2 linked regions of the Saccharomyces cerevisiae S288C genome follow. The protein of the gene in region 1 binds, or shares a complex with, the protein of each later gene. Each region holds a gene or a part of one and is shown in the gene's direction. Other genes may lie near its edges. The genes, in order: BRE5 and UBP3.

Region 1 (4,354 bases):
ATGCCTGTAAATACAATTAATGGCTCTGTTAATCAGGAGATGAACAATGCCTATCTTTTGAAGCAGAAGAACGAGCCACTGTTAACTCAGCAACAACAGCAACAGCAACAACAACAGCAGCCATTTAATATAGGAACGCCTGTTTCGGTGGCTAGTTTGCCGCCCGGACTGAACGTTCTGCAGCAACAACAACAGCAGCAACAACAACAGCAGCAACAGCAGCAGGGAGTGGGACTCAATCGTCCCTTGGCTTCCCAGCTACCCAAGCATTTAACCAACCAAAGTATGCCACCGATCTTTTTACCACCCCCAAATTATCTTTTCGTTCGCGATGTCTGGAAGTCCAACCTTTACAGTGAATTCGCCGTTATAAGACAACTGGTCTCGCAGTATAATCATGTGTCAATCAGTACTGAGTTTGTGGGGACTTTGGCTAGGCCGATCGGCACTTTCAGGTCGAAGGTCGATTACCACTATCAGACAATGAGGGCCAACGTAGACTTCTTAAACCCAATACAACTTGGTCTTTCCTTGAGTGACGCCAACGGCAATAAGCCTGACAACGGTCCCTCAACGTGGCAGTTCAATTTTGAATTTGACCCAAAGAAGGAAATCATGTCCACAGAATCGTTAGAATTACTCAGAAAATCAGGTATCAACTTCGAAAAACACGAAAATTTAGGCATCGATGTATTTGAATTTTCGCAGCTTCTAATGGACTCTGGTTTAATGATGGATGATTCTGTTACTTGGATCACATACCATGCGGCATATGATCTAGGTTTCCTGATCAACATTCTAATGAATGACTCCATGCCCAACAACAAGGAGGATTTCGAGTGGTGGGTCCATCAATACATGCCCAATTTCTACGACTTAAACCTGGTGTATAAAATAATCCAGGAGTTCAAGAACCCTCAATTGCAACAATCTTCACAACAGCAACAGCAGCAGCAATATTCACTAACCACACTTGCCGATGAGTTAGGGCTACCAAGATTCTCTATATTTACTACTACAGGCGGCCAGAGTCTATTGATGCTTCTATCCTTCTGCCAATTGAGCAAGCTGTCTATGCATAAGTTCCCAAACGGTACGGATTTCGCCAAGTACCAAGGTGTCATATACGGTATTGATGGGGACCAATGATCATTTATGTACTATATGTATACACAATTTTAAAAAAAAAAGTTTAAAAGCAACATCAGCTTATGATTGGACATGTAGTAATACAGATTGGTTCTTCGATGCAATAAGCACTCTTCCACAGGAGATTGATGCGTTATTCCCGTATAGTTATCGGTCACGTGCGCTGTAGTTTGTTTAACCATTTATTTTTTCTTGGAAATTTTTTCGTCCAAAGCAGCGAAAAACATCAGGTGGCGATTAATGAAAGAATGACATATTGCAAGCAGCATAACCGTCCATTCCAGGGATAAGAGGAAGTACAAGCTTCTTTATTAATAGTTCTAGAGTGACTACATTATTTCAGATTAGGCAATATTACCTTTTCGTACCGTTTTTTTTTCCTGTCCACTGTTACTATTGTTACGGTTAAAAGTTCTATCGCAACCGGCGGACGTTAAACTAAGTCATTTGTTTTTTATCCCATTACTGTTTCAAAAAAGAGCAATTCATACCTAATTTGTACAAAACGAAGACTGTACAAGTGGTAGTACTTGACATAGGATATTTTGCTTGAGTATTAGAAGAATACGAAAAACTTCTTCAGTTTTCTAGTTACCGTTAGTACCAAAACTATTCTAGAGGAAGAATAAACAGTAAGATATTGCTTTAATTTATTTATATCACCTACCACAAGCTTTCGTTTTTTTACTCTGTTTAATTCTTCAAGTTGTGTTTTTTCCCTACATTTTAATTCATTTTTGCCCATTTAATTACATTTTTTTTTTTGTTTTATTATTTTCGTTCAAACCTCATTTTCTTTCAAATATTCAATTAGTCAATCATTTTACAGAGAATCTGTTGAAAACTTATTTTACTGATACATCTTTATTTTTCGTTGATTTTTAAAGAGAAAAAGATCACGAAGAATACTACAAAACCATCGCATTTTTTTTTTCAAGTGTGTTATAGTTTTATTACCTTGTCACTAATAGTTGCATTTGAAGTCATACCCTCGAATAGAAGTATCAAATAAAAGAAAATGGGTGTTACCGTTCAAGACATATGTTTTGCCTTTTTGCAAAACTACTACGAAAGAATGAGGACCGACCCTTCCAAATTGGCATATTTTTATGCAAGTACAGCCGAGTTGACGCATACTAATTATCAGTCCAAGTCAACAAACGAAAAAGATGACGTTCTTCCAACGGTGAAAGTTACTGGACGTGAAAACATTAATAAGTTTTTTTCTAGAAATGATGCCAAAGTTAGGAGCTTGAAACTAAAATTAGATACTATAGATTTCCAGTACACTGGGCACTTGCACAAAAGCATTCTGATCATGGCCACGGGTGAAATGTTTTGGACAGGAACTCCGGTCTATAAGTTTTGTCAAACATTTATCCTGCTACCATCCAGCAATGGGTCTACGTTTGACATTACCAATGATATAATCAGATTTATTTCCAATTCATTCAAGCCTTATGTCTTAACAGATGCTTCTTTGTCACAATCTAACGAGGAGAACTCTGTCAGTGCAGTTGAAGAAGATAAAATAAGGCATGAGTCCGGAGTTGAAAAAGAAAAAGAAAAAGAAAAATCACCAGAAATATCGAAACCAAAGGCCAAAAAGGAAACGGTCAAAGACACAACTGCGCCAACTGAATCGTCAACTCAGGAAAAACCAATTGTCGATCATAGTCAACCTCGGGCTATACCCGTCACTAAAGAGTCCAAGATTCACACCGAAACGGTACCATCTAGTACTAAGGGCAACCACAAACAAGATGAGGTCTCTACAGAAGAGTTAGGAAACGTTACTAAACTAAATGAAAAATCTCACAAAGCCGAAAAGAAAGCTGCACCAATCAAGACAAAGGAAGGCTCTGTTGAGGCCATAAATGCTGTTAATAACTCTTCTTTGCCCAACGGTAAAGAAGTTAGTGATGAAAAACCGGTACCTGGGGGCGTAAAGGAAGCTGAAACTGAAATTAAACCAATAGAGCCACAGGTTTCCGACGCCAAAGAATCCGGCAATAACGCTTCAACACCTTCATCTTCTCCAGAGCCCGTTGCGAATCCACCAAAGATGACATGGGCCTCAAAGTTGATGAATGAAAACTCCGACAGAATTAGCAAAAATAATACCACGGTTGAATACATCAGACCTGAAACACTACCCAAGAAACCGACTGAAAGAAAATTTGAAATGGGGAATCGGAGGGACAACGCTAGTGCTAACAGCAAAAATAAGAAAAAACCAGTATTCAGCACCGTTAACAAGGACGGCTTTTATCCAATCTACATTAGAGGTACAAATGGCTTAAGAGAAGAAAAATTGAGAAGTGCCTTAGAAAAAGAATTCGGTAAAGTTATGAGGATAACAGCTGCAGACAATTTTGCCGTCGTCGACTTTGAAACTCAAAAGAGCCAAATCGATGCTTTAGAGAAGAAGAAAAAGTCAATTGATGGTATTGAAGTATGCTTAGAAAGAAAAACAGTAAAGAAGCCCACGAGCAATAATCCTCCTGGCATATTTACTAATGGAACACGTTCTCATAGAAAGCAACCCCTAAAAAGAAAGGACTAGTCAACCACAAGCCTTTTAAAAAGAAAAATTGAAAAAATAATAAAAAAATTTGAAAAAGAAAAAAAAAAATCATAAAACCAATCTTAAGAAAAACCAAAAAAAAACCGCTAATTAAAATCTAAAAAATTGAAACAAGAAACTGTATGATTAGTAACTAATATACTGGCGCGGAAGGGAATGAATGCCATTTAAATGAGATGATTATGAAAATATAGCGTAGAGTAGATGCGCGAAACCGAGGCAGAAAAGAAAAAGAGACAAGTTAAAAATTGAATATAATGATATATGGGCACTTTCTTCTGTGCTAGGAAACGGAGGTAGAAGGGGATAGCAAGCTTGAGCAGTAATTAAAAAAAAAAAAAAGCATATTGATAGATAGCTCATTTGTAGTTAACTGACGACATTTATGTACATAATTAAAATAGAAGAAAATTTTCAAAAAAAATTCTCCTGGCGATTGTTAGGGACAAGAAAACAAGCCATGTTGTAACCAATAAATGTTACACGCCTTCAAAATAAAAAAAAGATGGACAAAAGAGATAAATCTTTTGCTTTTTCTTACTCTGTGTTGTTGTCAACAAAGACAACAAACGTGTGAATAATCTACGGGATTCGTTTACCATAGGCTACCTAGAAATG
Region 2 (5,404 bases), on another chromosome or scaffold:
TCCACGGCGCTCAGGGAAAAGTGGAAGGTATTCTTGCAGGAGATGGATACGCTACCAGGGCAGCCGCCATTAAGGCTGCGCGACTTCCCGCAAATGACCAAGGCTATGGGCATAGCATTGATGCAGCAAGATGAGCAAGCAGCTGCCCTGGCGTTGTTTGGACGACAGCCCCTAGTGATAAAGAACGAATGGTCACTACCGCTACTACTGGCTGGTGTCCTTTGGCATGTTCCCGGCCCAGCGCAGGCGCGACGTGTGCTGGCGGAGTTCCGTCAAAGTTATCGCGGGCTGCCGCTGCTGGATGCCGAACTAGTGATAAAGAGAAGAGGATTTGAAATCAACACATAAATCTGGGTGGAGCATCGCTGTAACAAGGAACAACGCGTGCTAGCAAGCGGTAATGAAATACAAGGAAATCAATTTCTTCAAGGGCCATCCGAGCTCGAGGTTGCTGCCTCGAGAAGCAGTAATTCAAGCGACTGCGGCTATATTGGGGCCCGAGACCAGGGAGTACGATAACGACCCCTATAACAGGCATCCGCTGACGTACGGTTCGGACGAAGGTGCCCTGTGGGTGCGAGAGCAGATTTGTACGTTTCTGAATGATCAGCTGTTTAAGTTCGAAAATGGGGCTCGGAGCAGGACACGGGCAGACTATTTGAATCTGAATAGCGGCGCTTCGTATGGCATGCTGAACATCCTTCTGCAAACAACCTTGCCACATAACGGGTATACCAGGCAGGCGTTCATCATCACGCCAACATATTTCTTGATCAACAATTGCTTCACAGATGCGGGATTCAAGGGGAAAATGACCGCCATCAACGAGCAGGGCCACGACTCGATTGATTTCGAGTCGTTGATTTCTGCCCTTGAGCAGCACGAGGCGGAGCCGCAGCCCCATAGTACCACAGAGATGATTCAGGGGCCAAAGTTGACCAAGAAGGTCTACAGGTACGTTATGTACTGCATCCCGACGTTTGCAAACCCATCGGGAAACACATACTCGCTTGAGACCAGACGCAGACTTATCGACATCGCTCGGAAGTACGACATGCTGATAATCACTGATGACGTGTACGATATTCTAGATTACACGACGCCCTCAGATGAGCTGCCCTCTCCGCCCCTAAGGATGGTGCACATAGACAGAAGTACAGCGCCCTCCGGTGAGGACTCGTTCGGGAATACAGTGTCCAACGCAACTTTCTCCAAGCTGATCGCCCCTGGGCTCAGATTTGGATACCATGAGTCAATCAACGCGAATCTCGCCAGACAGCTATCTAAAGGTGGTGCAAACGTCTCTGGCGGAACTCCCTCACAACTGAACTCCATGATCGTGGGTGAGATGCTGCGTAGTGGTGCCGCCCAGAGATGCATTGCACATCTGAGATCCGTATACTCCGAGAGGGCCACTGTCTTGACCTCGGCGCTTAAGAAATACATGCCCCTAGGAACCGAGATTATGCCATTGAAGGGCGGCTATTTTACTTGGATCACTCTCCCACCAGCGTACAATGCCATGGAGATATCCACTATTCTTGCCAAGAAATTTAATGTCATCCTTGCCGACGGCTCCAATTTCGAGGTCATCGGCGATGAGAAAAACTGGGGTCAGTCATGCTTTAGGCTTTCTATTAGTTTCTTAGAAGTTGATGATATCGACAGGGGCATTGAGCTGTTTGGTGCTGTTTGCAAATCTCATGCGATCACCAATAACATAACTATGTAGAAGGAATACGTATATAGGTGAACGGTAATAAGAGGGTAATTTTTCTACGGGCAAAGGCAAGGAAGAAAAAGAAAAAGAAGGAAAAAAATATAATGTGATAAAACAAACAAGCAGCGAAAAAGCGAAAGGGAAGAGAAGTGTTTCTAGAGAAGAAAGTCATTTTAATAGTAAGTCAGACTCGTCTGCTACCATCATCCAGGTACCGCTTTCCTTTCCATCATCATTAAAAAAAATGAACATGCAAGACGCTAACAAAGAAGAGTCGTACTCGATGTACCCGAAAACCTCTTCTCCACCACCACCTACGCCAACCAATATGCAGATTCCTATTTATCAAGCGCCTTTGCAGATGTACGGCTACACTCAGGCCCCATATCTATACCCCACACAAATACCTGCCTATTCGTTTAATATGGTCAACCAAAACCAGCCAATCTACCATCAAAGTGGCAGCCCACATCACTTGCCTCCGCAAAACAATATTAACGGCGGAAGCACTACCAATAACAACAACATTAACAAGAAGAAGTGGCACTCTAATGGCATTACCAATAACAATGGAAGCAGCGGTAATCAAGGCGCCAACTCTAGCGGTAGCGGCATGAGCTACAACAAATCCCACACCTACCATCACAATTACTCTAACAATCATATCCCCATGATGGCCTCTCCAAACAGTGGCAGCAATGCGGGCATGAAAAAACAGACCAACTCTTCCAACGGCAACGGTTCTTCGGCTACTTCACCATCGTACTCTTCCTACAACTCTTCTTCACAGTATGATTTATACAAGTTTGATGTCACTAAATTAAAGAATCTCAAGGAAAATTCATCAAACTTGATTCAATTGCCACTGTTCATAAACACTACGGAAGCAGAATTTGCTGCGGCAAGTGTCCAAAGGTACGAATTAAACATGAAGGCTTTGAACCTAAACTCTGAAAGCTTAGAGAACTCATCTGTAGAAAAGAGCTCTGCCCATCATCACACAAAAAGCCATAGTATACCAAAGCATAATGAGGAAGTAAAGACAGAAACACATGGGGAAGAAGAAGATGCTCATGATAAAAAACCACATGCGAGCAAAGATGCGCACGAGCTTAAAAAGAAAACTGAAGTAAAGAAAGAGGATGCTAAGCAAGACCGTAACGAAAAAGTTATACAGGAACCTCAAGCTACTGTTTTACCTGTAGTGGATAAGAAGGAACCAGAGGAATCTGTTGAAGAAAATACTTCCAAGACATCTTCACCTTCACCATCTCCTCCAGCAGCAAAATCCTGGTCCGCCATAGCATCAGATGCGATTAAAAGTAGACAAGCTAGTAACAAAACAGTCTCCGGATCGATGGTCACTAAAACACCAATTTCTGGTACGACCGCAGGCGTTTCATCAACAAACATGGCTGCGGCGACTATAGGTAAATCCAGCTCTCCCCTGTTGTCCAAGCAGCCTCAGAAAAAGGATAAAAAATACGTTCCACCTTCTACAAAGGGTATTGAGCCACTGGGTTCGATTGCGTTAAGAATGTGTTTTGATCCCGATTTCATTAGTTACGTTTTACGGAATAAAGATGTTGAAAACAAAATACCAGTCCATTCCATTATTCCAAGAGGCATAATTAACAGAGCCAACATTTGTTTTATGAGTTCTGTGTTACAAGTGTTACTCTACTGTAAGCCATTTATTGATGTAATTAACGTTCTCAGTACACGGAATACCAATTCAAGAGTCGGCACATCATCCTGTAAATTATTAGATGCTTGTTTGACTATGTATAAGCAATTCGATAAGGAAACCTATGAGAAAAAATTCCTAGAGAATGCTGATGATGCTGAAAAAACCACGGAAAGTGATGCAAAAAAATCATCAAAATCCAAGAGTTTCCAACACTGCGCCACTGCCGATGCTGTCAAACCTGACGAATTTTACAAAACTTTGTCTACTATACCGAAGTTCAAAGACTTGCAATGGGGCCATCAGGAAGACGCAGAAGAATTTTTGACCCACTTATTGGACCAATTACACGAGGAATTAATTTCTGCAATTGATGGCTTAACCGATAATGAAATTCAAAATATGCTGCAAAGTATTAATGATGAACAATTGAAAGTTTTCTTTATTAGAAATTTGTCACGTTATGGAAAAGCAGAGTTTATCAAAAATGCTAGTCCTAGACTGAAGGAGTTGATAGAAAAATATGGCGTGATCAATGATGACTCTACCGAAGAAAATGGTTGGCATGAAGTGAGCGGATCTAGCAAAAGAGGCAAGAAAACTAAGACCGCTGCCAAGAGGACTGTCGAGATTGTTCCATCACCAATCTCCAAACTTTTCGGTGGCCAGTTCAGATCTGTGTTAGATATACCGAACAATAAGGAATCTCAATCGATTACACTCGATCCGTTCCAAACAATTCAATTGGACATTTCAGATGCTGGTGTGAATGATCTAGAAACTGCATTCAAAAAATTTAGTGAATACGAATTGCTACCCTTTAAGTCCTCGTCAGGGAATGATGTCGAGGCCAAGAAGCAGACTTTTATTGATAAATTGCCGCAAGTTCTTTTAATCCAATTCAAAAGATTCTCATTCATAAATAATGTGAACAAAGACAACGCAATGACGAACTATAACGCGTACAATGGACGTATTGAGAAGATCAGGAAAAAAATTAAATATGGTCACGAGTTAATCATACCTGAAGAATCAATGTCTTCCATAACATTGAAAAACAACACCTCAGGGATTGATGATAGAAGATATAAGCTAACCGGAGTTATATACCATCATGGGGTAAGTTCCGATGGCGGTCATTACACAGCGGATGTTTATCATAGCGAGCACAACAAATGGTATAGAATAGATGATGTAAATATTACCGAACTAGAGGACGATGACGTTTTGAAAGGTGGCGAAGAAGCTTCTGATTCGAGGACTGCCTATATTTTAATGTATCAAAAGAGAAATTAAGACGGGGGGTGGTATTATAGACAAAATACATAAAAAATAATATAGCAATAATACAATACAATACAATACAATACGATAGTGAGCACGATTTTAAAAAAGAAATAGAGACAGACAGAGAAACAGAGTTACACTTTATGCTTGGCATATTTAAAAAATGATTTCGCCCAGGATCGAACTGGGGACGTTCTGCGTGTTAAGCAGATGCCATAACCGACTAGACCACGAAACCAATTATTTCTTGGAGATGAACATTTAAGAAACAAATACCTTGTAGAAGGAATGTGAATTTCAAAATATTATGGCCTTTGGCAACAATGGAATCACAACAATTATCACAAAACTCATACATCTCTTAAGATTCATTTCTTACTTTAAGTAATCATCCAAATTTAGCCAAAGTTTGATTTTACCTAAAAAAAGCAGAGGATTCCCGATTTCAATCATATGTGCACAGACGATGAGTCCAACACGTTATCGTTAACATAGTGCTCAATATTGCCACTGCGCTTCGCAGGAGCATATTTCGTATACGCCAAGCCCAAGGAGGGTTTTGTCATTAAGCAGCTTACGCCAATTAAGTGCTAACCTCGAAGCACCATACTTTATCTCAGGATTTACAAACTCCCTATTGCACAACGGCAAACAACATAATCATGACCAAATGGGTAAAAAAGATGAGCTGTGAAAAAGCCAAAAAAAAA

What was found.
Region 2: the proteins of BRE5 (region 1) and UBP3 are in contact, whole or in part, in a crystal structure (PDB 2QIY), measured with the Saccharomyces cerevisiae proteins. Residues at the interface, in NP_014449.1 of Saccharomyces cerevisiae: Phe10 (codon at 2,195), Gln14 (codon at 2,207), Tyr17 (codon at 2,216), Glu18 (codon at 2,219), Arg21 (codon at 2,228), Lys50 (codon at 2,315), Asp51 (codon at 2,318), Asp52 (codon at 2,321), Leu79 (codon at 2,402), Lys80 (codon at 2,405), Leu81 (codon at 2,408), Lys82 (codon at 2,411), Leu83 (codon at 2,414), Asp84 (codon at 2,417), Thr85 (codon at 2,420), Ile86 (codon at 2,423), Glu105 (codon at 2,480), Phe107 (codon at 2,486), Gly110 (codon at 2,495), Thr111 (codon at 2,498), Pro112 (codon at 2,501), Val113 (codon at 2,504), Tyr114 (codon at 2,507); in NP_011078.3 of Saccharomyces cerevisiae: Leu206 (codon at 2,580), Pro207 (codon at 2,583), Leu208 (codon at 2,586), Phe209 (codon at 2,589), Ile210 (codon at 2,592), Asn211 (codon at 2,595), Thr212 (codon at 2,598), Glu216 (codon at 2,610), Phe217 (codon at 2,613), Ala220 (codon at 2,622), Ser221 (codon at 2,625), Gln223 (codon at 2,631), Arg224 (codon at 2,634), Leu227 (codon at 2,643).

The regions. Positions count from the first base shown.
Region 1 is NC_001146.8:716,141-720,494, reverse strand, and holds BRE5 (Bre5p), read left to right. Parts: upstream 1-2,167; coding exon 2,168-3,715; downstream 3,716-4,354. Other genes in the region: CCR4-NOT core DEDD family RNase subunit POP2, read left to right, coding at 1-1,149. UniProt on the Saccharomyces cerevisiae protein: Has a role in de-ubiquitination. In conjunction with UBP3, cleaves ubiquitin, leading to the subsequent mono-ubiquitination of sec23.
Region 2 is NC_001137.3:468,985-474,388, reverse strand, and holds UBP3 (mRNA-binding ubiquitin-specific protease UBP3), read left to right. Parts: upstream 1-1,964; coding exon 1,965-4,703; downstream 4,704-5,404. Other genes in the region: PET122 (Pet122p), read left to right, coding at 1-348; YER152C (2-aminoadipate transaminase), read left to right, coding at 401-1,732. UniProt on the Saccharomyces cerevisiae protein: Has an ATP-independent isopeptidase activity, cleaving at the C-terminus of the ubiquitin moiety in natural or engineered linear fusion proteins, irrespective of their size or the presence of an N-terminal extension to ubiquitin.